Caenorhabditis elegans: one gene and its partners. The protein of the gene in region 3 purifies or fractionates together with the protein of the main gene of each other region. This does not show direct contact. Each region holds a gene or a part of one and is shown on either strand. Other genes may lie near its edges. The genes, in order: rep-1, madf-3, T05C1.2 and F47G3.3.

Evidence for each region.
Region 1: the proteins of T05C1.2 (region 3) and rep-1 fractionate together in Caenorhabditis elegans (co-fractionation; one large-scale study listed by BioGRID). This does not show direct contact.
Region 2: the proteins of T05C1.2 (region 3) and madf-3 fractionate together in Caenorhabditis elegans (co-fractionation; one large-scale study listed by BioGRID). This does not show direct contact.
Region 4: the proteins of T05C1.2 (region 3) and F47G3.3 fractionate together in Caenorhabditis elegans (co-fractionation; one large-scale study listed by BioGRID). This does not show direct contact.

What each region holds. Positions count from the first base shown.
Region 1 is NC_003281.10:1,568,552-1,576,342, forward strand, and holds the start of rep-1 (Rab proteins geranylgeranyltransferase component A 1), read left to right. Parts: upstream 1-1,754; 5' UTR 1,755-1,772; coding exon 1,773-1,888; intron 1,889-2,872; coding exon 2,873-2,942; intron 2,943-2,992; coding exon 2,993-3,223; intron 3,224-4,001; coding exon 4,002-4,153; intron 4,154-4,248; coding exon 4,249-4,456; intron 4,457-5,195; coding exon 5,196-5,374; intron 5,375-5,675; coding exon 5,676-5,835; intron 5,836-6,396; coding exon 6,397-6,493; intron 6,494-6,542; coding exon 6,543-6,620; intron 6,621-6,781; exon of another isoform or gene 6,782-6,854; intron 6,855-6,878; exon of another isoform or gene 6,879-6,951; intron 6,952-7,223; exon of another isoform or gene 7,224-7,299; intron 7,300-7,320; exon of another isoform or gene 7,321-7,393; intron 7,394-7,529; coding exon 7,530-7,657; intron 7,658-7,791. Other genes in the region: Y67D2.2 (Ubiquitin carboxyl-terminal hydrolase), read left to right, coding at 1,205-1,300. UniProt on the Caenorhabditis elegans protein: Substrate-binding subunit of the Rab geranylgeranyltransferase (GGTase) complex. Binds unprenylated Rab proteins and presents the substrate peptide to the catalytic component B and remains bound to it after the geranylgeranyl transfer reaction.
Region 2 is NC_003280.10:4,332,903-4,339,571, reverse strand, and holds madf-3 (Alcohol dehydrogenase transcription factor myb/sant-like protein), read right to left. Parts: upstream 4,825-6,669; 5' UTR 4,761-4,824; intron 3,897-4,760; 5' UTR 3,866-3,896; coding exon 3,302-3,865; intron 2,500-3,301; coding exon 2,421-2,499; intron 1,859-2,420; coding exon 1,762-1,858; intron 1,347-1,761; coding exon 1,148-1,346; 3' UTR 534-1,147; downstream 1-533. Other genes in the region: H20J04.4 (RNA helicase), read right to left, coding at 5,837-6,130.
Region 3 is NC_003280.10:4,480,428-4,483,771, reverse strand, and holds T05C1.2 (Protease III), read left to right. Parts: upstream 1-1,650; 5' UTR 1,651-1,657; coding exon 1,658-1,704; intron 1,705-1,977; exon of another isoform or gene 1,978-1,978; coding exon 1,979-2,051; intron 2,052-2,633; coding exon 2,634-2,747; 3' UTR 2,748-2,829; downstream 2,830-3,344. Other genes in the region: T05C1.1 (Activin_recp domain-containing protein), read right to left, coding at 3,004-3,190.
Region 4 is NC_003284.9:2,373,978-2,379,607, forward strand, and holds F47G3.3 (KIF-binding protein), read left to right. Parts: upstream 1-2,007; 5' UTR 2,008-2,019; coding exon 2,020-2,064; intron 2,065-2,112; coding exon 2,113-2,343; intron 2,344-2,733; coding exon 2,734-2,839; intron 2,840-2,887; coding exon 2,888-3,057; intron 3,058-3,101; coding exon 3,102-3,464; intron 3,465-3,822; coding exon 3,823-3,985; intron 3,986-4,034; coding exon 4,035-4,201; intron 4,202-4,480; coding exon 4,481-4,675; 3' UTR 4,676-5,109; downstream 5,110-5,630.

The DNA of each region.
Region 1 (7,791 bases), on a different chromosome or scaffold from region 3:
TTTTCTACTATCATTTTAGTGTATCGAACTAAGTTGATATGTTTTGTATGTCGAAAAATAGTTTACACTTGGTTACATCATTTTTGTAGGAAAAATCTAGAATTTTCGACAAAAATTATTTTGAACATTTTTTGACGACCAACCAAAAAAATTTTTTTTTGGGCGGATTTTTTTCCAAACTTCTGTTGTTTTCTAATAATCTAAACAAAGCAAAATCCGCACACAAAGCTCAATTGAAAACTGAAAAGAAGCGAGATCAGAAAAATGCCTGAAAAAATTGGCTCCGCGTTAGGACACTTGGGGTGGTCAAAAACTTTCGTGACTATTGTCAAGTGAAAGATCATGGTTGATAACGTAAATTCCCAAAGTTTCATAAAAATCGATACGCAGCGAACAAAGTTATGATTTTTGACCCGGAACTTATTTGGAGACCTAATATATATATACCAGCCGTTCGAACGCGCTGAAGCGCGTGCTCCGACTGGCGTACTCAAAATTGAAATCAAATTCTAAAATTTCTAAGCCTTTCTCTGTAGATGGAACGTTTTTTTTCTGTTTTCCGGAAGTTTTCGAGCAACATAAATATTATATAGCTGAGTGTTTACAACTAAAAAAAAACGTTTTTCAAATCATATAAAACTTTTTTCCGGTCCTTTCCGAGAGTTTTTGGCGAGCGTTTCTGGAAATTATAACAATTTTGATCTTTTTTTTTCAAATTATTGAAACTTCAGAATATTCTAGGAGTATCAAAACTTGAAGAAGTTTTTTTTTTTGAACTTTCCGAAAGGTTCTAGAAATTTGCAGGTTCCTGAAATTTTCCACGAAATTGAACACTTCAGAATTTTCCCGATTTCTCTAGAAAGTTTTGGAACATTCCAGAATTTTCTCGAATTTATTTTTCTCAGAAAATTTGAATTTCCAGTCAACGAAGAGCCTTTGTCACAAAAACGACATATTATTAAAATTCACAGAATTTCCTAAATATTCCCTTCCTAAACATTTTCTCGTGACCCATGTGCTTCTACTCGTATTGGTGGCATAAAAACTGTATTTATTCACAGTTTCAGTCTTAAATTGGCCGAAAATGTGAATAAATACCGTATTTCTGCCAACAATTTGACAATAGAGCACATTTGTCACTCGGAGATGCGGAAGCTATGCCCAAATTTTCATTTTTCCCCCGAAAACTTGTATAATTTTTCAGGTAACCCGTGTACCGTACTCCCACGTGGCAGCCTGTCAAAGTTATATGCTATTCTACGAACGTGTCAAACCTCATCGACTCTACGAAAGGATGTAATTTCTGGATTTTTATTGATTTTTTTGAGAAAATTTTTTTTTTGGAAATTTCGCAATTTTTTTCCCAAACAATTGATTTATTTTGTTGCTAGATTCCCCTTATTTTTTGTTGTAAATTTTAACATTTTAATGACACAACGTGTAGCATTTCCTTTAAAGTTTATTTTTTGTGCAAAAATTCAGAAAATTTGAAAAAAATATTATAACTCTTCCCCCCGTCCCGTGCCATTTTTGTTAAGTTTTGTGTGTGTGTGTGAAAATGAAGATTTTTCGTGTTTTTTCCACTTTTTTTAGTTAATTTTTAAAGGTTTTCAGCCGTAAATCAAATATTTTAATAGAAAAAAAAATTTTTTTTGGAAAATTTTCAAAAAAATTTTTTTTTTTTTTGGTTTTTTTCAATTTTTCAAATTTAAGCATGACATCTCTTATTTTCCAAAAATTCAAACTATTTCCAGCTTTTCCAGCTCTAAAAAATGGACGAAAAGTTGCCAGAATCAGTGGACGTAGTGGTGCTGGGCACCGGACTACCTGAAGCCATTCTGGCTTCAGCTTGTGCTCGAGCTGGCTTATCTGTGCTTCATTTAGATAGGTAATAGGCGAACTAACATTTAAAAAAAGTTTAAAAAAATGAATGAATGAAATTGAAAAAAAAAAAATTTTTGCGAAAAAAAAATTATTTTCGGCTAAATTTTTTTTTTAATCATAACTTTTCCTCAAAAATACAGCAAAATTCGAATTCTCCACGTCGCCAGCTTCAATTTGATCCCCAAATTGCCTATATTCCGCTGGTTTTGAAGTTTTCGGGTCCCGCCACGAAAACTCCTCGGGTTACTGTAGTTTTTCGCGGCGGGACCCAAAATAAACGGATTCTGGGCATGATGGGGGTCATTTTGAAGCTGAGAACCTGATGAATTCAAATATCACATTAATTTTCGGGAAAAATCAGAAAGTAAAAATTTTCTGACCAAGTTTGTGGAAAATTTTTCGGAAAACGTCAAAAGTTTCCAATTTTCGAAAAATGTCAGCCAACTGATATCATATTCGAGTTCTCCACGTCACTAGCTTTAAAATAACCCCCCACCATGTCCATATTCCATTGATTTTGATTTTTTTGGGTCCCGTCACGGGTTACTGTAGCACCGATTTCAGCTGTGTCGATTGTCAAAATACACCGAACCTAGGCGTGTTGGGGCTCATTTGAAAGCTAATAACGTTGAGAAATCAGATTAATTGTTCGTTTTCGGAAATATCGAAAATTAAACAAATTTTAAGAAAAAAAAATATATATTTGCCAAAACATTTTTCAATTTTCAGAAATTTAAAAAATCAGAATTCTTTCTGAAATCTTCACGTTACCAGCTTTCAAATGACCCCCATCATGCCCATATTCCGCCTACTTTGAGAATTTTGGGTCCCGCCACGCGGGTTACTGTAGCACCGATTTCAGCTGTGTCGGTTGTCAAAATGCACGGAACCTAGGCGTGTTGGGGGTCATTTGAAAGCTGATAACGTCTGGAATTCGAATTTCATACTCGATTTCTTGAAAAATTCGAAATAAAAAATATTTTTGCAGAAATGAGTACTACGGCGGTGATTGGTCATCATTCACAATGTCGATGGTTCATGAAGTGACTGAAAATCAGGTTTTTATTGATTTTCAGCCAGAAAAACCCCAAAATTTCCGAATTTTCAGGTAAAAAAGCTGGATTCCTCGGAGATTTCCAAGTTATCAGAGCTTTTGACTGAAAATGAGCAGCTCATTGAGCTCGGCAATCGAGAAATCGTGGAAAACATTGAAATGACGTGGATTCCACGTGGAAAAGACGAGGAAAAGCCGATGAAAACGCAACTGGAAGAGGCTTCACAAATGCGGCGATTTTCCATCGATTTAGTGCCGAAAATTCTACTTTCCAAGGGAGCAATGGTACAAAATTGCAAAATTACACCTAAATTGGAGAACTTGATGTTTTGCCCTAATAGTCATCAAAAAATCAATTTTTGCCAAAAAAAAAATTTTTTTTGAAACTTTTTTTCTGAAAAAAAAGAAAAATTTTTCTAAAAATTCAATTTCCTCATTTAAAACTCTGAAATTCGAATTCTCTACGCCACCAGCTGTCTAATGACACCCAACATGCCCAGGTTCCGACCGCTTTGAAAATTTTGGGTCTCGCCACGCGGGTTACTGTAGCATCGATTTCAGCTGTGTCGAGACTGCCAAAATTCAAAATCAACGGACCACGGACATGTTGGGGGTCATTTGAAAGCTGATAAAGTGGAGAATTCGAATTATTTGCTAGTTTTCTGAAATATCGAAAATTTAAAAAAATTGAAAAATATTTTCCAAAAAATTGTCAATTTTCAGAATATTCAAAAATTAACATTTTTTCCGAGATCTTCACATCACCAGCTTCAAAATGACCCCCATCATGCCCTGGTTCCATGCAATTTGATTTTTTTGGGTCTCGCCACGCGGGTTACTGTAGCACCGGCTTCAGCTGTGTCAAAACTTCCAAAAGTCAAAATCAACGGAGCCGGGGCATGTTGGGGGTCATTCGAAAGCTGAGAGCGTCGAAAAATTCGAATTTCCGCATTATTTTCAGATATTGAAAAGTTTGACAAAAATTTATGGGAAAATTTTGAAAATCTTGAAAAAAATTTGGAAAAAAAAAACGATTTTCTTCCAATTTTTTGAATTTTTTCAGGTTCAAACACTCTGTGACTCCCAAGTATCCCATTATGCCGAGTTTAAGCTTGTCAACCGGCAGCTATGCCCAACAGAGACCCCAGAAGCCGGAATTACCCTAAATCCGGTGCCATGTAGCAAAGGAGAGATTTTTCAGAGCAATGCTTTGTCGTAAGGGATTTTTTTAGGCTGAAAATCGATAAAATATCGATTTTCTTTGCCAAAAAAATCGATTCGCAATGATAAATCTCCAAAAATTCTTCCAGAATCCTGGAAAAGCGAGCTCTTATGAAATTCATCACATTCTGCACACAATGGAGCACAAAAGACACGGAAGAAGGCAGAAAACTGCTCGCCGAGCACGCCGACCGCCCGTTTTCAGAGTTTTTGGAGCAAATGGGCGTTGGAAAGACCCTGCAGAGCTTTATTATTAATACGATCGGCATTTTACAGCAAAGACCCACTGCGATGACGGTGAATATGCGGAAATTACTGTTTTTTAGAAAAAAATCTGAATTTCTAAAAAAATTGAAAATGAAAAAAAAATCCAAAATTTTTTTTTTTGCACGAAATTTACTTCAATTTTTTTCAAAATATTATTGAAAAATTTGAATTCTCGCCACTCTCAGCTTCAAAATGACCCCCAACATGCCCGGGGTCCGTTGATTTTGAGTTTTGGCAGTCTCGACACAGCTGAAACCGGTGCTACAGTACCCCGCGTGGCGAGACCCGAATTTTCAAAATCATCGGAACCCGGGCAGTATGGGGGTCTTTAGAAAGATGATGATGTGGAGGATTCGAGTTTTGAGTCGATTTGAAAAGAAATTTATAATTGAAAAAAATTTGAGCAAAAAATTATTTTTTTTTTCGAAAAAATGTTGATTTTGTCTATTTTGCTAAAAATTTTTGAAAAATTCAAATCTCTAACGCTTTCAGCTTTACAATGACCCCCATCATGCCCATTTTCCGTGCAGTTTGCGCTCCGACACAGCTGAAACCGGTGCTACAGTACCCCTCGTGGCGGGACCCAAAATTTTCAAAATCGATGGATCATGGGCATGATGGGTGTCATTTGGAAGCTGGTGATGTGGAGAATTCGAATTTCGAGTTGATTTTCATGTCAAATTTGAAATTGAAAAAAATTTTGAGAAAAACAAATTTTCAAAAAAAAAAAAAAATTTTTTTCAAAATTTAAAATTTTTCCAAATTCCAGGGAATGTTGGCATCATGCCAGTTCATGGATTCTGTCGGCCATTTCGGTCCATCGCCATTCCTCTTCCCACTCTACGGATGTGGAGAGCTCTCACAGTGCTTTTGCCGGCTGGCAGCAGTCTTTGGGAGCTTATATTGTCTGGGACGGCCTGTACAGGCTATCGTGAAAAAAGATGGAAAGTTAGTGAAGAGAATAAGCGAAAAATCAATAGTTTCTGCGAAATTTGACCTAATTTTCAAGTCAAATTCCCAGCAAAACTAGTTTTATACAATATTCCGTGACTCATGTGTTTCTACCCAGATTGATGGCATAAAAACTGTTTTTATTCACATTTTCAGCCTTAAATTGTGCTGAAAATGTGAATAAATACCGTATTTCTGCCAACAATTTGACAATAGAGCACATTTGTCACTCGGAGATGCGGAAGCTATGCCCAAATTTTCAATTTGTCGGAAAACCAATTTTCTCAAAAATTTCCAGAATTACGGCTGTAATTGCCAATGGAGATCGTGTAAATTGTCGCTACATCGTGATGTCCCCGAGATTTGTCCCCGAAACTGTTCCAGCTAGTAGTACGCTGAAAATCGAGAGAATCGTCTATGCGACGGATAAATCGATTAAAGAAGCCGAGAAAGAACAGGTTCCGGAGCATTTTTTGGAGTTTTCCACCAGGAAATTCGATTTTCCCGCAAAATTCCACTCTAGAATTCAATTTCCCCGGGCTTCTAGCTCAATGTTACAATTTTTGGGGTTACTGTAGCGCCAAAAGTACGTTGACCTCGGTGCTTGCGTACCTGAGACCGAATTTTACGAAATTGAGCTTAAATTGGCTGAAAATCATGTTCCGGGGTGAATTGGCAACGGGAAATTCGAATTTCGCATTGAAAACCACCTTGGTCAACTGGTTTTCGAGAAAAATTTAATTTTACTCGAGAAACCAGTGCTCCTAGTTGATTTTCAATGCAAAATTCGAATTCCCCGTTGCCAATTTACCCCGTAACTGAAATTTAAGCCAATTTGGGTTCAATTTCGTAAAATTCGGTGTCAGGTACGCAAACACCACGGGGGCATCGCGTACTTTTGGCGCTACAGTAACCCCGAAAATTTCAAAATTGAGCTAGAAGCCTGGGAAAAAATAATTCTAGAGTGAAATTTTGCGGGGATTTCGAATTTCGTATTAAAAATCCGAAAAAATTTTCAGCTAACCCTCCTCAATCTGGCATCTCTCCGGCCCGACGCCGCAGTCTCACGGCTTGTTGAAGTGGGCTTTGAAGCCTGTACGGCTCCGAAAGGACACTGTAAGCCCCCACGTTTTTTCCTAGAAAAATAAAGATTTTTTTTTTGCAGTTCTGGTGCATGCAACGGGTACCCAAGAAGGAGAAACAAGTGTCAAGACTATTGCAGAGAAGATTTTTGAAAAAAATGGTGATTTTCGCGGAATTTTTAGGGGGAAATTTTGAATTTCCACTACCGAAAACCTATTTTTCGCTTAAAATTTGAGAAACTTTCATGGAAAAGTCATTTCCAAGTGAATTTTCCCTAATTTTAGGTGAAAAATTCGAATTCTCCGCTATAAAAAACCTATATATCCCCACGGGGAATCGAACCCTGGACCTTTTGCTCCAAAGGCGAGCCGCTTAGCCACTGCGCCACGCGTTGCAGCTAACCAGTGATGCATGTTGCACCCCGTGGCGCAGTGGCTAACAGGCTTGACTTCGGAGCAAATGGTCCCGGGGTTCGAGTCCCCGCAGTGGTGTATAGGTTTTTCATAGCGAACATTTCGAATTTTTAACTTAAAATTCGCAAAAATTGAGTTACAACCTAGTTTCCTGAAATTTTCGCTCGAAAATGATACAAAATCCATTTTTTTGAACTATTAATATATGTTAAGCTTCAAAGTTCTAAAATAGAGACTCCAAGAGTTGAAATCTCAGCAAGGATTCAGTGAAATTTTGAGAAAAATTATTTCCAAGTGAATTTTCCCCAATTTTAAGTGAAAAATTCGAATTCTCCGCTATAAAAAACCTATACACCCCCACGGAGAATCGAACCCCGGACCTTTTGCTCCAAAGGCGAGCCGCTTAGCCACTGCGCCACGCGTTGCATCACGCGCCGCTGGTTCGGCGCACCGGTGGCGCAGTGGCTAACAGGCTTGACTTCGGAGCAAAAGGTCCGGGGTTCGAGTCCCCGTGGGAGTATTTAGGTTTTTCAGGGCGGAGATTTCGAATTTTTCACTTAAAATTCGCGAAAATTGGCTTGGAACCCGGTTTTTCTTTAATATTTTTGAGTTTTTCGATTTTTCCTAGAAAAATCGATATTTTTTCTGCATTTCAGAAGTGGAACCCTACTGGAAGATGAGCTTCACCGCGAATTCCATGAAATTCGACACCGCCGGAGCCGAAAATGTCGTCGTCGCGCCGCCAGTTGATGCGAATTTACACTATGCTAGTGTGGTGGAGGAGGTTAGGGCGAAAGAACGATGAAAATTGGATTTTTGAGCTGAAATTGAATTAGAAATTCAAATTAGAAAAAAAAATTTCGAAAAAATATAAAAATTAAAAAAAAAAAATTTTTTTGAAAAATTTTTCAGAAAATT
Region 2 (6,669 bases), 150 kb from region 3:
AACGAGACCGCTAAGAAAGTTTTGAGGTTTCCAAAATTCAACTTTTTTGGTGAAAAAGTCGAGATTTTCGCACAAAAAAATTGAATTTTGAAAACCTCAAAACTTTTTCAGCGGTCTCGTTATGAAAATCAGGTAATTTCAGCATCTAAGCATCATATGTATCATGTTTCAGAAAAAGTTTAGGTTTTGTATTCCCGTAATCCATCATATTACATTGACCACTTTCACCGCTGCTTGCCCACTGAATGCATGATTTTTTCACTTGGAAATTGGAAATTGTTTTAGCATCTGCAAAAAATATTTATTTATCAGTTTTATTAAGAAAAAACGAAAAAAATCGATGAAAAACGAAAGAAAACAGGCGGAAAACAAAGCAAGATAAATGGCCGCTGAAACTTGTCGGCCCCTCGGCCATGGCCTAGAAACCACTTTTCCTCGTCCCTCGCGAGGAAAAAGTTGCAGTGTAACTTTCAGACTTCGCGGTGAGACCCATCCGCAAAAAATTTTTCAAAATTTTTCAAAAAACACAGATAAAAAGTAGGTTTTGAACACCTTAAAAGAGGTAAATTTACAACAAAAAATCCAAATTTTCTAGGATAAAAATCAATTATTCATGAAATAAAAGGACCTGAGATAGGAAAGACGGCGATGGAAATTAAGAAACTGCCCACAAAAATTACAAAAAAAAATACAGATACAGAAATATTGTACAAATATGAAAATATGATGAGACCAGTTGATGGGATAAAGATCAAAAAAATTGGAAATAAATGCGCCAAGACTACAGTACCTGGGGTCTCGAAGCGACAATTTTTGTTAAGTGCGTGTGTAAAGGTGTGCGCCTTTAAAGAGTACTGTAACTTCAAAAATTCGTGAATTTTCATCAATTTTTCATAGTTTTTCGATAAAAAAGACAATAAATTTTCACAAATTGTGAGAAAAACTCGACAAAAATTCACAGTTAAACACAGTACTCTTTAAAGGCGCACACTTTTTTCAATTTTCAACTTATCAAAAAAAAAGTTTTCAACTTATCAATTTGGGTCGTGGCGAGACCCGGCTTGGGGTAAAATCGAAGAAATTTCGAGGTTGGGTAATAAAAAGTGGACAAAAAATTGAAAATTTCGGCTAGAAAATTCAATAAAAATCACAAATAATTAGGAGCAGGTGTAGACGGAGGTTTAGCGGATTCCAAAAGTATCATAATCTGCTGCTTTGCAATTATTCGTGCTTCTTCTCCAAGTGTCCTTAGATCCGATACAATTGATGCAGAGAATGCAGAATCTCCGTCGAGAAGTACATCACCGTTGTTTGGTCGCTTTTCAGCCATCATCACGTAGTTTATGCTGGAAATTTCAGGGGTTTATTGATTTTTTTTTTGGCAAAATAAAATTATTATTTTGGAATTATCTGTGATTACTTGTCGGAAAAAATTGCACCAAATCATCAAGTTTTCGCAAATTCCAAATTTTTAAAATTTCATTTTTCTAAATCTTTGAATTTTTTTTTTTGAAAATTTTTCAATTTTTCTAGAGAATCTAATAGAAATCACCGAAAATTGTCTTAAAACCGCCACTATTTGCTTCCGACCAATCAGCGCCCGACTCCGCGCAATTCCGAACCAATCAGCGGCACAGGTCGTCGCTGATTGGTTCAAAAAAGAGAAGGGGCCGAGCGCTGATTGGTTAGAAGTTGATCAATTTTAGAGTCAAATTTCCTCTTTTTTTTTCATCAACTTTTTGCTCATTTTAGCTCACTCACTCATCATCGTAATCTCCATAATCTGACATTTCATCCTGATTTCCTCCGTCATTGTTTCCCCCTCGTTTCAGACTTCGAGCACATCGAGATAGTTGCTCTGCAAAATTTTAGTTTTTTTTAAAGTATTTATTCCGGCGATTTTAGGAGCCACGTAAAATAATACATGGAACTGCGTAATTCGTAATTTCACATATGGCGGTGCGAAATTTTTTACATGTCAAAACAAGAGTTCTAAAACTAAACTCTTTTTTCGTATTTATATTGAGGAAAAAAAACGATTTTAAAGCTGGAGGAGTAGGAGTAAATGAGGGATTTTACTTCAAAATGCGCAAACTGATCCTGAATCTCTCTGCATCCACACTATTGTCCGTAGATCTGCATCCGCACTATTGTCTTCACTTGCGAGGAAAAAACGGGAAAAACTAGAATTAACGTCGCGCAGATACAGATCTACGGAGTGCGGCGCTGAAAAAGGCGCGGCAATTTAAATGATTAGGAGATTAGTCAGAATTGAAAATTAACCAAAATCAACCGATTTTTTTTCAAACTTAATGATTTTTGATTTTTTTTTTCGGGGGCCTTTTATGGTATTTCGGCATTCAGGATCAGTTTGATTTAAAGGTTTTTTGTTTTAATTTTCCAGGAAAAAAAGCTCGTACGTTCATCCAAATGCTGATCTATCCAAGCCATATCATCATACATCTCCCAAGTTGACACATCTTGAACATTCGGATCACCCTGAAGTTGCTAAGAAAAATTTGTAAAATTTCTGTTTAAAACAAAAATAGAGGCTCCACGAAAACGGGATACTGTTGAGAAAGGGGATTCTGGCACTGTGCCAATTTTTTCTCAAAGAAAAATTGAGTTTTGTGCGTTGGCAGTGCCAGGCAGGGAGGGGCAAACGATTTTTTCCGGCAATTCCGGCAAATTTCCAACTTGCCGAATTTGTCGAAAATCGAAATTTCCGGCAAACCGGCAAATCAGCAAATTGCCCGAAATTAAAACTTCCGGCAAATCGCCAAATAGGCAATATCCCGAAAATAAAAATATTCCGGCAAATCGCCAAATTGCCTAAAATTAGAATTTCCGGCAAATCGCCAAACCGGAAATTTGCCGAATATCAAAATTTCCGGCAAATCGCCAAATTTGCCGTTTATCAAAATTTCCGGCAAATCGCCAAATTTGCCGTTTATCAAAATTTCCGGCAAATCGCCAAATCGGCAACTTGCCAAAAATCAAAATTTCCGGCAAATAGGCAATTTTCCAAAAATCAAAATTTCGGGCAAATCGCCAAATTGCCTAAAATTAAAAATTCCGGCATATCGGCAAAATGCCCAAAATGAAAACTTCCGGCAAATAGGCAATTTGCCAAAAATCAAAATTTCCGGAAAACCGGCAAATTGCCTAAAATTAGAATTTCCGGCAAATCGTCACTTTGCCGGGAATCAAAATTTCCGGCAAATAGGTAAACCGGCAACTGCCGCCTGCCAGATCCCATTTTCCATAAGTTCTCCTTTTCATGAGGCCTCCAAATGCCTACCAAATTCCTCAGCCTCCTCTTCTCCCTAACATATCGATCTCGATGCTTCTTCCATTGTTTATAAATCGACGGAACTGTTCCAGGATATCGTAGTTTATCAATAATCATTCCCCATGCTTGAGTACGACAGTCTCCATGACGATATTTTGGATCACGAACATCATAAAGACACGGATGCCTTCTCACTTCAAGAATTAGATTTTTTCCAAAACATGGCTCAGCAATCTTTTCATGAACTCCAGTTGGCTCTTTTCGAGATGGTGATATTTCTGCTCGATCTGTCATATGTGGATCTAGAAAATGAAGATGTTTGAAATATTGCCATGATGATTTCTCATTTCCATATTTTTGTTTTCTCTTCTCTTTTCCATATTTATCTCTTAATTGCTTCCATCTCGCAGATAACATTCTCGGATCACCATCAAAACCGAGTACAGTAACCAGACGCTGCCAAACTCGATTTTTGTATTCTGTATTACGGTATTGTCGGTCTGTATTGTCGAAAAGGCATCGACTATGACGGACGGCTTCGATGAGACGTAGGTTGAATGTCGGTTCGATCATTTCCTCGCCGAAGCGGGTCGCTGTGTAGTTCCTGCAAAAAAAGGTTATTTATGATTTTTTTTAGAAAAATCAGATAATTTTCTGATTTTTTTAAGCGAACTTTTTTTTCGGAAAAATGCTTTTTGGGATTTTTTTGAGTGAATTTTTGATTTTTCTAATTTGAAAAAAAAAACTGATAACATCAAACTTTATCCAAAAATATGTTCTTAAAGGAAAACGCGATTTTTTGAATTTTTATCGAATATATAATTTTAAAAAATAGTTTTTCTGTCGGAAATTAATTTTTTTTTAAATTTTTTACAAAAAAAGCGCAGTTTTTTTTAAAAAGAAAATCGAGTATTTTTTCTCAAGAAAAAACACCTTAAGATTTTTAAAGATTTTTATCGAAAAAAAATGTGTTTTTAATGGAAGATCAAGTTTTTTTTTAATTCAATTTTTTTTGATAGAATATATAATTAAAAAATGGACTTGTTTCGAAAATTAACTTTTTTAAATTTTCGTATTAAAAAAATTGCAATTTTTTCGAAAAATCTGGTATTTTTCGAAGGTTTTTAGAAACATCTTTTTTTTAAAGTAAAAAACGTTTTTTTTTTTCGAAAAAAAGTGTTTGCAAAAACTGATTTTTTACCTTTTTAAAATAAAAAATTGTTTGTTGAAAAAAAAAAATTTTGACAACAAAAGTTTTTTTTTAATTTTTTTATTTAGTAGATTAAATTATTTTTAGCACTTCGTAAGTACTTACAATTAGAAAAATTTTCTTTTTTCATATATAAAAAATTGTTGATTTTTCGCCAATTTATCGGAAAATAAATTGGATCTTTTTTGAGAAAAATCTGATTTTTTTTTTCAAAAATTCGATTTTTCTAAATTTATCCAAATATCATTTTAAACTCACATATCGTATTGTTCTTCGTGATATAAATGCTGATAGTTGTGCTCACTGGAGATCATGATTAGCTGAAAGTGTTAGAGCAATCGCTTTTTGAGACGGCTTTTAGAGATATTATGAGGAAGGTTTTAAGGAAACCATTATGGGGAATAAAAAGAAAATAGATGTGATAGAAAATATTGATTTTTTTTCAAAAGAAATCAACAACAAAAAAACAAAACAAAACAAAAAAAGTAACAATTTAAATCTAAAACAACAGAAATCGCAAGCTCGTGTACTCCACGAGGAGAAGTAAAGTACTAGAATTTTGAATTTAACACTAAAAAAAAATGATTTTTTGCTTTAAATCCCAGAAAAAAAATGAGATTTTCAATTTTTGGTGATTTTTGGCAACTTAAAAATTTTAATTTTAAATTAAAAATTTGCATTTTGTTAACAGTTGCTGTTCGGCAAATTTCTTTGTCGACAAAATCGGCAAATCGGCGAATTGTCGACCTGCCGATTTACCGAACATAAATTTGCAGGAATTTTTTGGAAGAATTTTTACGAGACGGAAAAACTTGAAACTGTGCTTTTTTGAAATTTTTTTGTCGGTTTTCTAGATATTTTCATAGAATTTGCCAATTTTCAAATTAGATGTAGGAATAGTCATAGGATGCGTACAGTTTTGCCGATTAAAATTTAAATTCTGAAATATCAAAAAAAAAAAAGGTAAAAAATCGCAATTTGCCGAAAATCTATGGCAATTTCCGTTTTTTCGGCAAGTTGCAGGTTTGCCGATTTACCGCAAATTTTCAATTCCGGCAAATTTGCCGATTTGCCGGAAAAAAATCGTTTGCCGCAAACACAACTTTAAATGCCAAAAATATACCGTAATTTTAATTTGAAAAAGTGGAGATTTGCAATTTTTGGTAATTTTTGGCCACTTTTAATTGTTTTAATTGTTCAAAAATTTGCATTTTGTTAACAGTTTTCTGTAATTTTGAGCAAAAACTGTAAAAATTTTGCACTTCTCCACGAGGAGTACACGAGCCGCGTAAATCGACACAAGCTGAACAAAAATTACAATATTTAAAATGAATTCAATTTTCTTCCTTTTTCACTTTTTTCGCCGCCAATTTCTTCTGAAATCGATCTCTTTTATCCAATTGTCCACTAATTTTCTCCAGCTTTCTCTTGGAATTTGTCATTCTTCGAGTCCTCATTTCCTCCAAATGCCTATCAGCTTCATCTTCATCCATTCCACTCATCAGAAGCTCTTTTCTTCGATTAATCTCCTTTTTCTCTCCGAATTTCTGATTTTCCAGCTTCAACTCGGCTTCTTTCTTCGCCACAAGCACTTGGGTGACGTATTTGGTGACATGTTTTGGGCTGACCTGAAAAAAATGCGAAAATTAAGGGAATTTATTGATTAAAAAGTAGATTTTTTGTGTAGAGAAATGAAAAGAGACGGGGGAAAAAATGATGAAAAAAAAATTATTTGCGTCAATATAGAGAGAAACGCAGTCAACTAGAGAGTGAAAAATGAGAGGAAAATATTTTTTTTTGGCGTCATTGAAAGTGGAAGGAGTTTGGAAATTCAATATTTTGGCGGGAAATTCAAATTTTTTGAAAAAAAATGTTTCTTCCGCCTTTTTCGTGTTTTTAGCAGAAAAACTCGCTTTTTTCGAAAAAAAAATTAAAAATTTTCCTTTTTTATCCAAAATATGGCACTGGAAAATTACAAAAGAAGTGCAATTTTTGTTTTTTTTTCGCTTTTTTTCTAGATTTTCCGAAAAAAAAATATAGCTTCAAATTTAGGCAATTTTTCCCTATTTTTTGCCGAAAATTATATGTTTCTCATGTTTTTTGAAATCAAATTTTAGAAAAAAAATTCAATTTTTTAAAGATTTAAAGATTTTTCTTTAAAATATTT
Region 3 (3,344 bases):
AGGCTTAGAGAGTCAAATATGAGACAGGAACATACAGACAAATTCAGGAATGAGAAAGACACGTAACCAGGCAGGTGCTAGGCAGGCACTAAAGCAGTTAGGAATGAGAAACACAAGTAGGTCTGCAGGTAGGCGAATTGTAATGAGGTAACTTGAAAAGCTTTTATGACGGAGTTCAGTGTACGAAAACAAGCATCGGCGAAGGTAATCAGCCATGTAGGCAGGTAGGCATGCTTGCGGGCTCGTAGGCGGGCAGGTAGGTAAGCAGGGATATATATATATATGTAGATTTTTTTTCTTTTGAAGATCTTTAGCAAAACAGCTTGTTGTTTTCCTATAGGTACAACCAATTCCAATTCGCTTCTCTGAATTTTTCATTAGCCACCCCACTTGACATTTTGAGCTGCCACACACACCAAAAATGGTTATTTTTCAGCACCGAGACGAGGGTGCGTTCTCTCATGTTTTTTTGAGCACTTATCGCTTTACGATCACTCATTTTTCCCCCATCATTCTTCTCAAATGTTCCTTTTTTTGAAGGACAGTCGGTTCCGGGTTAGGATATATATTTTTGTTTTGTTTTTCTGGAAGTACATGCACCGTGGTTCTTGCCAAAATTTTCAGAAAATCTGAAGCTAAATTCTAGAAATTTTTATTCGACAGTTGAGATTTGAATCATTGTTTAAAATCCCCAAAAGAAAAACCGCAAATATCCTCTATAAGGCAGATCTACACAATTCTCAAATAATACCCAGCTGATAATTGTTAGTTTTTGTTCCAAAAATAAATATATATGTGCAGGTACATGTCATATAATAAAATGCTAAGACGGATCTGACAACTCAGGATTTAAATCATCTTTTGCGCGGGAACTAGGTCAGATTAAGAGTGATGTAGATTTGAGCTGGATTTGCCCGTATTTGGTGTGTTTTTAGTGGTTGCTCGGGGAGCAAGTATGAATTTGGATATTTTAGAATTAGCATATATTTAATCGGACCCCGTTAGGCAGACCTGATGCCTTCAAGATGCCTATACGTACAAGCGTGCCTGCTTGCAAGTTATGCGTCTTTTCAGACTAAACAAAGTTCATTGCATTTTTGAAAATCAATTCGTGACTACAAAAAAACGTGTTTCACGGCTTGACAGATAAACTCTGCAATCCAGCTCAAACTCACATCATTTTTTCCGAATCTTTTTTGATCTACTTCCCGCCCAATTTTTAAGATGTTTATATAGGTAGGATTGTTTCAAAGTTAGAGAGCAAAAGCTTCATATTTTCAAATTGTTAATTTCGGTTTTGGTCACTGGAACCAAACGGACCAAACTAGTAGTACTTGTAATTAAAAATAATTGATCGAATTTTTTCCCATTTCCTAGACTTCCTCATTTTCTTTCTTTTTGCCTTCCGATTAATCCCATCATGATGTGCATTTTTAGAAGTAAGACACCGAAAAAATTGGCAACTTTTGAGAGAAAATAGTAGCTTTTAGAGTTTTTAATTTACATATAGCGTTCGTCATGTCTCGGTGAGATTAGTATTCATATAGACAAGTATTTTTGGATTTGATTTTTGTATTTTCTTTCTTGCGGAATGTTATTTTACTCCTTAAAATTAAACTATTTCAATCATAAAAATGGTGTCTTTTTTCAGAAAAAAATGGCCTCGCAACAAGACGCCTCTCCACCAACAGGTTACAACATGGGGTAGGTTTTGGAACATTGAAAAGGCTGGCGTTCAAGCCTACGTGCCTACCTCGTGCCTACCTGGCGTAAACTTTGCAAGTAGGCATGAGGCAGGCAGGCAGTGAAAATTGTGAAAAAAAAAACAAATTTTCTTTAAAATTGTGCGAGTCAATTGCGGCGTCGCGTCTTAATAATTCTTCGAATCTTTCACACTTTGTTTTTTCTAAGAAGTTTGTCTGAGAAGCTTCTTCTTTAGAATCTTCAGTATAATAAAAAATAATTATCATATTTCCAGACATCGCCACTCGTTAACCATTGAGACCAATCCACTGCACTTGTTGCCGTCCAATATGCGACGTTTCTCCCAGGTGATTTTTTGAAACAAAGTCTAATTTTTAGTTTCGGAAACATTACTGAAATATTATCGAAATGATTCAGACATCTGAGAAATTTTTAGGGGGTTTGGGCCTCAAATAGATTTTTTTGGATTTTTCGGTTAAGAAAATTATCCTGCAAACTCACTCTATAGAGTAAAAAATACGAGAGTTAGATAAGTTTGTTCGGCAAATGCAGGCCAGCAATTCTTAAAAATTGGACAAAATGTGTCAATATTTTACATTCAATTTTGATAATAAAAAATGAAAAATATGTGCTTTATTTGAAAATAGCTTTGAGTTTAGTTGGAGCAATTAAAAAATGTAAAAAAAAACTGTAAAACTGCCTGAAAGTTGGAATTTGTCGGGAAAAAGTTTGATAGTTTTTAATTTTTTAAACTAAAATGAAAGCTATTTTAAAATAAAGAAAAAATTATTCTATTTACTATAATATAATTTTTATGACAAAAATTAGGAAAACATGGTGCAATATGACATTTTGAAGAATTTCTGGTCGGCACTTCAATAGCCCAGCTATTGAAAATCATATTTTATCAACAAATCTTCCGTTTTCAGGCCGACACTGCCCGTCATCCAGCAGCTCCTTTGCTCTCAAAACTCGCCGCCAGACAACAAATCCCTGAAGCAGTAGCCGAGAAAAAAGACGACGAGAAGCCAGAAAACAAGTGATTTTTTTCTGATCTCTGAACATTGTGTATTGTATATTTAAATTTCAATTCTCCAAATATTCAATTAATCTTCTTTTCTTATAGTTTCATTTATTCAAAGAAAAAAAACAAAACAAAAAATAACAAAAAAAAAGACGAAAAACACCGGAATTGGAAGGATTGAATGCATGGGAAGTTTGGAGAATGCGGAGCGGATGGCTAGTAAATATGTACATGGAATGTTTTTTGGAGGGGATTTTTGGAAAAGGGAAATAGAATCACAAGAGATTTTTAAGAAGAATTGGAATTAGTGCAACAATGAAAAGCTTCCAGCTTCCTGTTGAATTCGGGTCCCGGTTTTGGGTTCCGTCAGTTGTAAGATTTCTGTTCGATGGGTTCAACTTTGGTGGTGAGGCTTCTTGGGTGACCTTGGTAACTTCGACGCTTCCGTGGCCGGGTGTGAAGCTGGAAATAGGACTAGTTTAATGCGGTCAATTAAATTATGGCGGAAATAAGCGGAAATAATAAATCTAACTGTAAAAGTCGAGTTGAGGGACAGGTTTTGAGAGCAGATAATTTTCAATTTTGGATAAAAACATTTTTTTAAATAAGATATTTG
Region 4 (5,630 bases), on a different chromosome or scaffold from region 3:
CCTGCATCAAAATTAATATTGTTTTTTTTTTGTCGTCTATCAGTACTGTTAGAAATTATGGAAGTTTAAGTTATCAATTATTAATTTTCATCTGTCCGTAGTTTCAAAATTTTTTAAATAAAAGTTCAATAAAAAGTGCGTCAAAGAATCTTTTTTAAACATTTTGTCGAAAAACTTCGACTTCTAATACAAAACTGATGCCCTCGCGTTTAAGCAATTTTTAACATACAAACCACTCAGATTGAAAATTCCACTTTCGAGAAACCCTGAAAAACTAAAAAAAAAAACGTGGCCCACGATAATATTTGTTCAATTACAATTGAGTCTAACGTATTGAATTTGAATAGTTTATGTCTTTGAAAAATAAGTTTAGACAATGCCCTTATTGTATTCTAGTATTGTATTTTAGACTTGAAAAATCCGCAAGTAAACAGACCAAAGCTTAAAATAAGTGAGATTGGGCAGGCGCCACAAAAAAGTGGTTCCAAGTTAGGGCACAACGGGTGGTTAAAAAATTTGAATTTAACGTCTCTCAAAAAAATTATGGATTTTAGCCAATTACTTGTCGCCACCATTTTCTTGATATTTATGAAAAATGAAAATTTTGAACAAATACGAATAATTGTCCTTTACTGATCTCCAATACGTCGTTCAACAGGATAATCATCCGATTTCATATAAATAAATTAATTATTTTCTTCTTCCGTCTCCCGTTTTGACCTCAACAAAATCGCTTAGAATAGAGATGCACTATCCCAAAATCAATAATGATCTACCTGCTCTCTTCGATTGAATACCATGTAAATAGCAGACATACATTTTAAAAAGGATTAAAGGACGATCCGTTCTTCAAGTGCTATGCACTGCGGATCTGGGATTCAGGTACACTGCCTGGTGGTGATCCCTCTGGGCTGTAATTTAAGCCACGTCCTAGCCGGGGACTGTGGCCGATAATCCAGTCGTGGATTGCTCCACTTCCCAATAGAGGCTGGGTGAACCTAGGGGGTGAGGCCGGACTCGTGACCTCCAGACTGCTAGCGGCCACCACTACCGACTGAGCTATCTGCCCCCGAATAATTTTATTCTTTGAAAAAAAATAGCAGACATACATTTTCCCTAATTCAACCCCTTGCCCTCTTGCCATTCTCCAAACGTGACGAGACCATCTGCCGCGCTGAGACACCGCAGTGTTCCTCGTCGCACGTTTGTCTCGTTTCTTAGACTCTCCACTCTCTTGCGTGTACTCTCGCACATTGTCTCCTTATCCGGTCAGTTTTTTGAATGGTTCGAAGAGCCTCAAATCATTCCTTTATCTCACGTATTTACATGTAGATTTTCTTTATTTTCTCACCGCATTTATTCATAATTTTCAATACTTCTCAGAGCATTCTCGGCGCAACAAATCATTCTTTTTGCTCAGTCCCAAATACCTTTTCTTTTCTTTTTATCTCCTTGTTGCTGCGTCTCCGTATCTCTAACAACATTTTCGATTTCCCTAGCAATGTCGTTACTTTCTCGTAATTTCTCACTTTTCTCGTAATTTCTCACTTTCTTTCTCGCCGGACAAAAAATGTATACGAGTTCTCGCCCTTATTTTGAAAAACATCTAATAGAGACATACGAGAGTGATGAGTATCAGCGATATGTTAAATGGCATAGTCTGTCGCGGACCAGAACAAGCAGAAGTAATGAAAATATCATTTAAATTTAGAGGCATAAAATTCTGAATATTTTTTTAAACAGATAAAAAAATTCTCCAATTTTCAGAAAAATCTACATTTTGATGTTCTTATGAAAGACGATGCAAATTATTATTCAAGCTAATTCCTTCAAATCGTCCGTAAAAACTTACTGATTTTACCATTAGTTACCAAATGCACTGGTTTTTTTAACTCCTCAATTGAGTTGCCAAAATTATGAGCGATAGATGTTACTTTTTTTTTAGCTACTTGCTCCGATTGTTTTTCCTCTTTCTGTATCCTTAAATATACTTTGAAATACTTACCTGTTTCAGTTACAATGACGGATATGGAAAGTCAATTCGAAATTATCCGAACCGAAATCGTAAGTTCATTTTTTGCTTTTTTTCTACAATTACAATCCTATTTTCAGACTCTCGGAAATCTCACGGGATCCCTGCACACATTGCACCAAAACGTGAAGCTACAGATCTTCAGTGACGATCTCTGTCAGGCTTTTGACTCGTTCCTGATTTTCTTCCACAGAAGCGTATCGAGTTATATGGACAAATTAAAGTCACAAACTAACGACGATGACGACGACGTTGCTGATAGACTTTCGGCAGCGGAAGCTCACGTTTCGCTTCATTTGGGCAGATTTGTGGTAGGTCGTTTCACTTTTTAGTTTGTAGAAACTAAATATGGTTCTAAAACTAATTTAAAACGGAGTTAGTTTAGCCACTTTGTCGAGTCGAATGACCAAATATCATAATTTAACAAAACAATTCTGAAAGGCCCAGTTTTGCCACTGTTTTGGAATCGGACAAATTAATATATTTTTCGAATTAAGTTTCAAATATTAATATTTAAAAATGTAAAGATTCCAACATGACTTCTCTATAGTTTTCTCAACAAGTGGTAAAATCTCAGTTATTGCCAGTTTTTAAATCGAAACGCAAATTTTCAAACAATTTTCGGAAATTTTTACTATGATATTTGGCTTATGTTATCATAACTCCTCTGTTAAGAAGAACGAAAGAAATATATTTTGCAGGCCGAGATTCCAACATTCGCCGACGGATGCGATGTGTCTGGATTTTGGCACAGTCTACTGGTCAAATTGATTAATGAGATGTTTGGATTCTCTCACAAGACTTTTGGTATTTTAGAAAACCATTTTGCACAGCTATATCACAGTTTTTTTGCAGATCCAGCAGCAAAAGTCAAAAACAAGAATGCAATCAGTGCACTGTTTGAGGAATTTTTGGCAGCTGAAAAACCAGATAGATCCACTGCGTACGAATATATCTGCGTTATGTACATCAAATACCTTCAACAAATGAATCTGCATGCGGAGTTGGAGTTGTTCGCAGCAGAGGTTTGGAAGAGTTATATGGATGTACCAATATATAAAGTTTTCAGAAAATTGCTCACCCCCACGAGTACCAACAAGAAGGCAGTTCTTATTGGAAAGAAGAATGTCTTGCACTTCTGAAGGCTGCGGATAAGTGCACAAATAACCGTCTGAGAAACAACTTGCTCACAATCGGAAAACGTCTCTTCAACAACACTACTGCCAACATCTCCAAGCAAACTGAGGCGTTCTTTGCTATCCTCACTTACATCGATCTCTGTGACAATCCAGTCACCGCGGAAGTCTGGACCGGTTTGAGAAAAATTTGCAAAAGAGTCATTGAGCATGGAAATGAGGTGTTGTTCTTTGCAAACAACGAGAACTTTGACGAGAACTTGAAGAGTGCTCTGAAAGTTTTTGGTGAGGTTGAGGTAAGATTTTCATATTATGAAAGTTTTGTCTAAATACATTCATCATGATACAAAACGACCACAAAATTTTAGACTTTCTCAAATTTTCTATCAAAGCTTTTAAGGAAATCCAGAGCAAGGTCGCATTTTCCGACCTCTAGAATATTTTGACACTAAAGTGTGAAAATGGTAGAAAAACAGTTGTTTGGGTCGATAAATTTTCAAAATGTTTTACTATAATATCTGATCCTTTTGGCACCGTGGCACAGCTCAACCTTTGAATAAGTTTGGGGGCTCTGAAATATGTCAAAAAATGTACTGGAAAAATTCATATTGATTTTACAGAATCCTATTCGGCAAACAATTTCAATAATTTCAGTTGACACTCAATAGACGAATTGGAATGATCCAAAAATTGGAGAGAAGCGATCCACAAGATGGACATCAAATGGACTCTGCATTTTTCATTGATTATGGATATTATTATGTGATGAGAGCCTCCATTTTCCAGAGCGCTAAATTCATTGTTGGTGAGCAAGAAGGTAAGTCGAAATCAGGCGCTTGTGCACCGTACATCGTATTCAATTTCAGCCAAAGAGCAAACAGCGTTGGACATCAAGCAGGCGTCGGACTATTCTTATCACTATACAAATGTTCAAATCGCTATCAATGACGTTCTTGAATTGATTACTTCAAATTTTGAAAATTTGAGTGAAACAAGCTTGGTTGAAATGGGAATCTATCAGTATCTGGAGTCGGTAAGGAATACTTTAGGGCGGCGATAAGTCCTAAGCCAAAATTCATAAATTTTTCTTGTGTCGGTATTTTCTAAAAGTTTTGACCATCACTAGTATCCTAGCTCGCCATTTTTTGGAGGCTTCTATTTGATCTTGCTTGCTAACAAGTTTTTTCCTAAATTCTTTATTGACAGAAGCTTTTAATTCGGGGCGCTGAAAAGTTGTTAAAATTACCGTAAAATGGAATATGTACGAACTCAACTTTGTACTTAACTTTCAAAAAATTTATTCTATTTTCAGATTATTGACGCATGCTTTGACAATAGAAGAACAAAGGACCAGCAAACTATTTTCGACAAGGCTAACCAGCTTCTGAGCAAAACTAGTGAGATGTTGGGAAAGCACAGTAACTCATCCGAGCCTGTAACAAGTGCAATGGACGCTTCAGGACCCTCTCCTGACGAACATCTTGCAGACGATAACATGGATGACTAGTTGATAGAAAGCCAATGCATTCGTTCGACATCACCATTTGATTCACCAGTTTTCACATTTTTTTGTTATAGATTTCCAACTATGAGTCGTTTTGTTAAAAGGAGCATTTACAATAATGTTTCCTTTTCATGTTTTTGTGCATGCATTCCTGAATACTCTTTTTTATTGATTCCCTTGGTATTTCTGCATCTCATCCGTTACTTTTTGAAACAATACCTGTTTTCAAAGTTTTACCCTCCCTCAATCACACCTGTTTTGAAGTTCTTTCATAACTTTTGTGCGCCAACATTTCATGGATGTTTTTTTATGTTACTTTCATCTCGAGAATGTTTTTTCTCCATTTCAAGAATCTCGGTCTCACTTCTTCCCACCCGTTTTTCATTTAGAAATAAATTTTAAATTTCTCCAGTTTGCTTCTAAATATTTAATTGTTTTGATTTTTGGTTCTCTGAATGCACAAATTCATCAGGTTCTGTAGGTATAATTATGAAACCGCTTTGAGCAAGAAACCAACTTAAAAGGAAGTGTCGTTTGGAGCATCTCCAGGTCCTGGCTATGTCTCGGCTATGTCTCACTATCAGCTCAGACTGCCAGAGTCACTAATTTTAGTGAACTGCCAGAGTCACTAATTTTAGTGAACTGCCAGAGTCACTAATTTTAGTGAACTGCCAGAGTCACTAATTTTAGTGAACTACCAGAGTCACTATTTTTAGTGAACTGCCAGAGTCACTAATTTTAGTGAACTGCCAGAGTCACTAATTTTAGTGAACTGCCAGAGTCACTAATTTTAGTGAACTGCCAGAGTCACTAATTTTAGTGAACTGCCAGAGTCACTAATTTTAGTGAACTGCCAGAGTCACTATTTTTAGTGAACTGCCAGAGTCACTAATTTTAGTGAACTGCCAGAGTCACTAATTTTAGTGAACTACCAGAGTTACTAATTTTAGTGAACTGC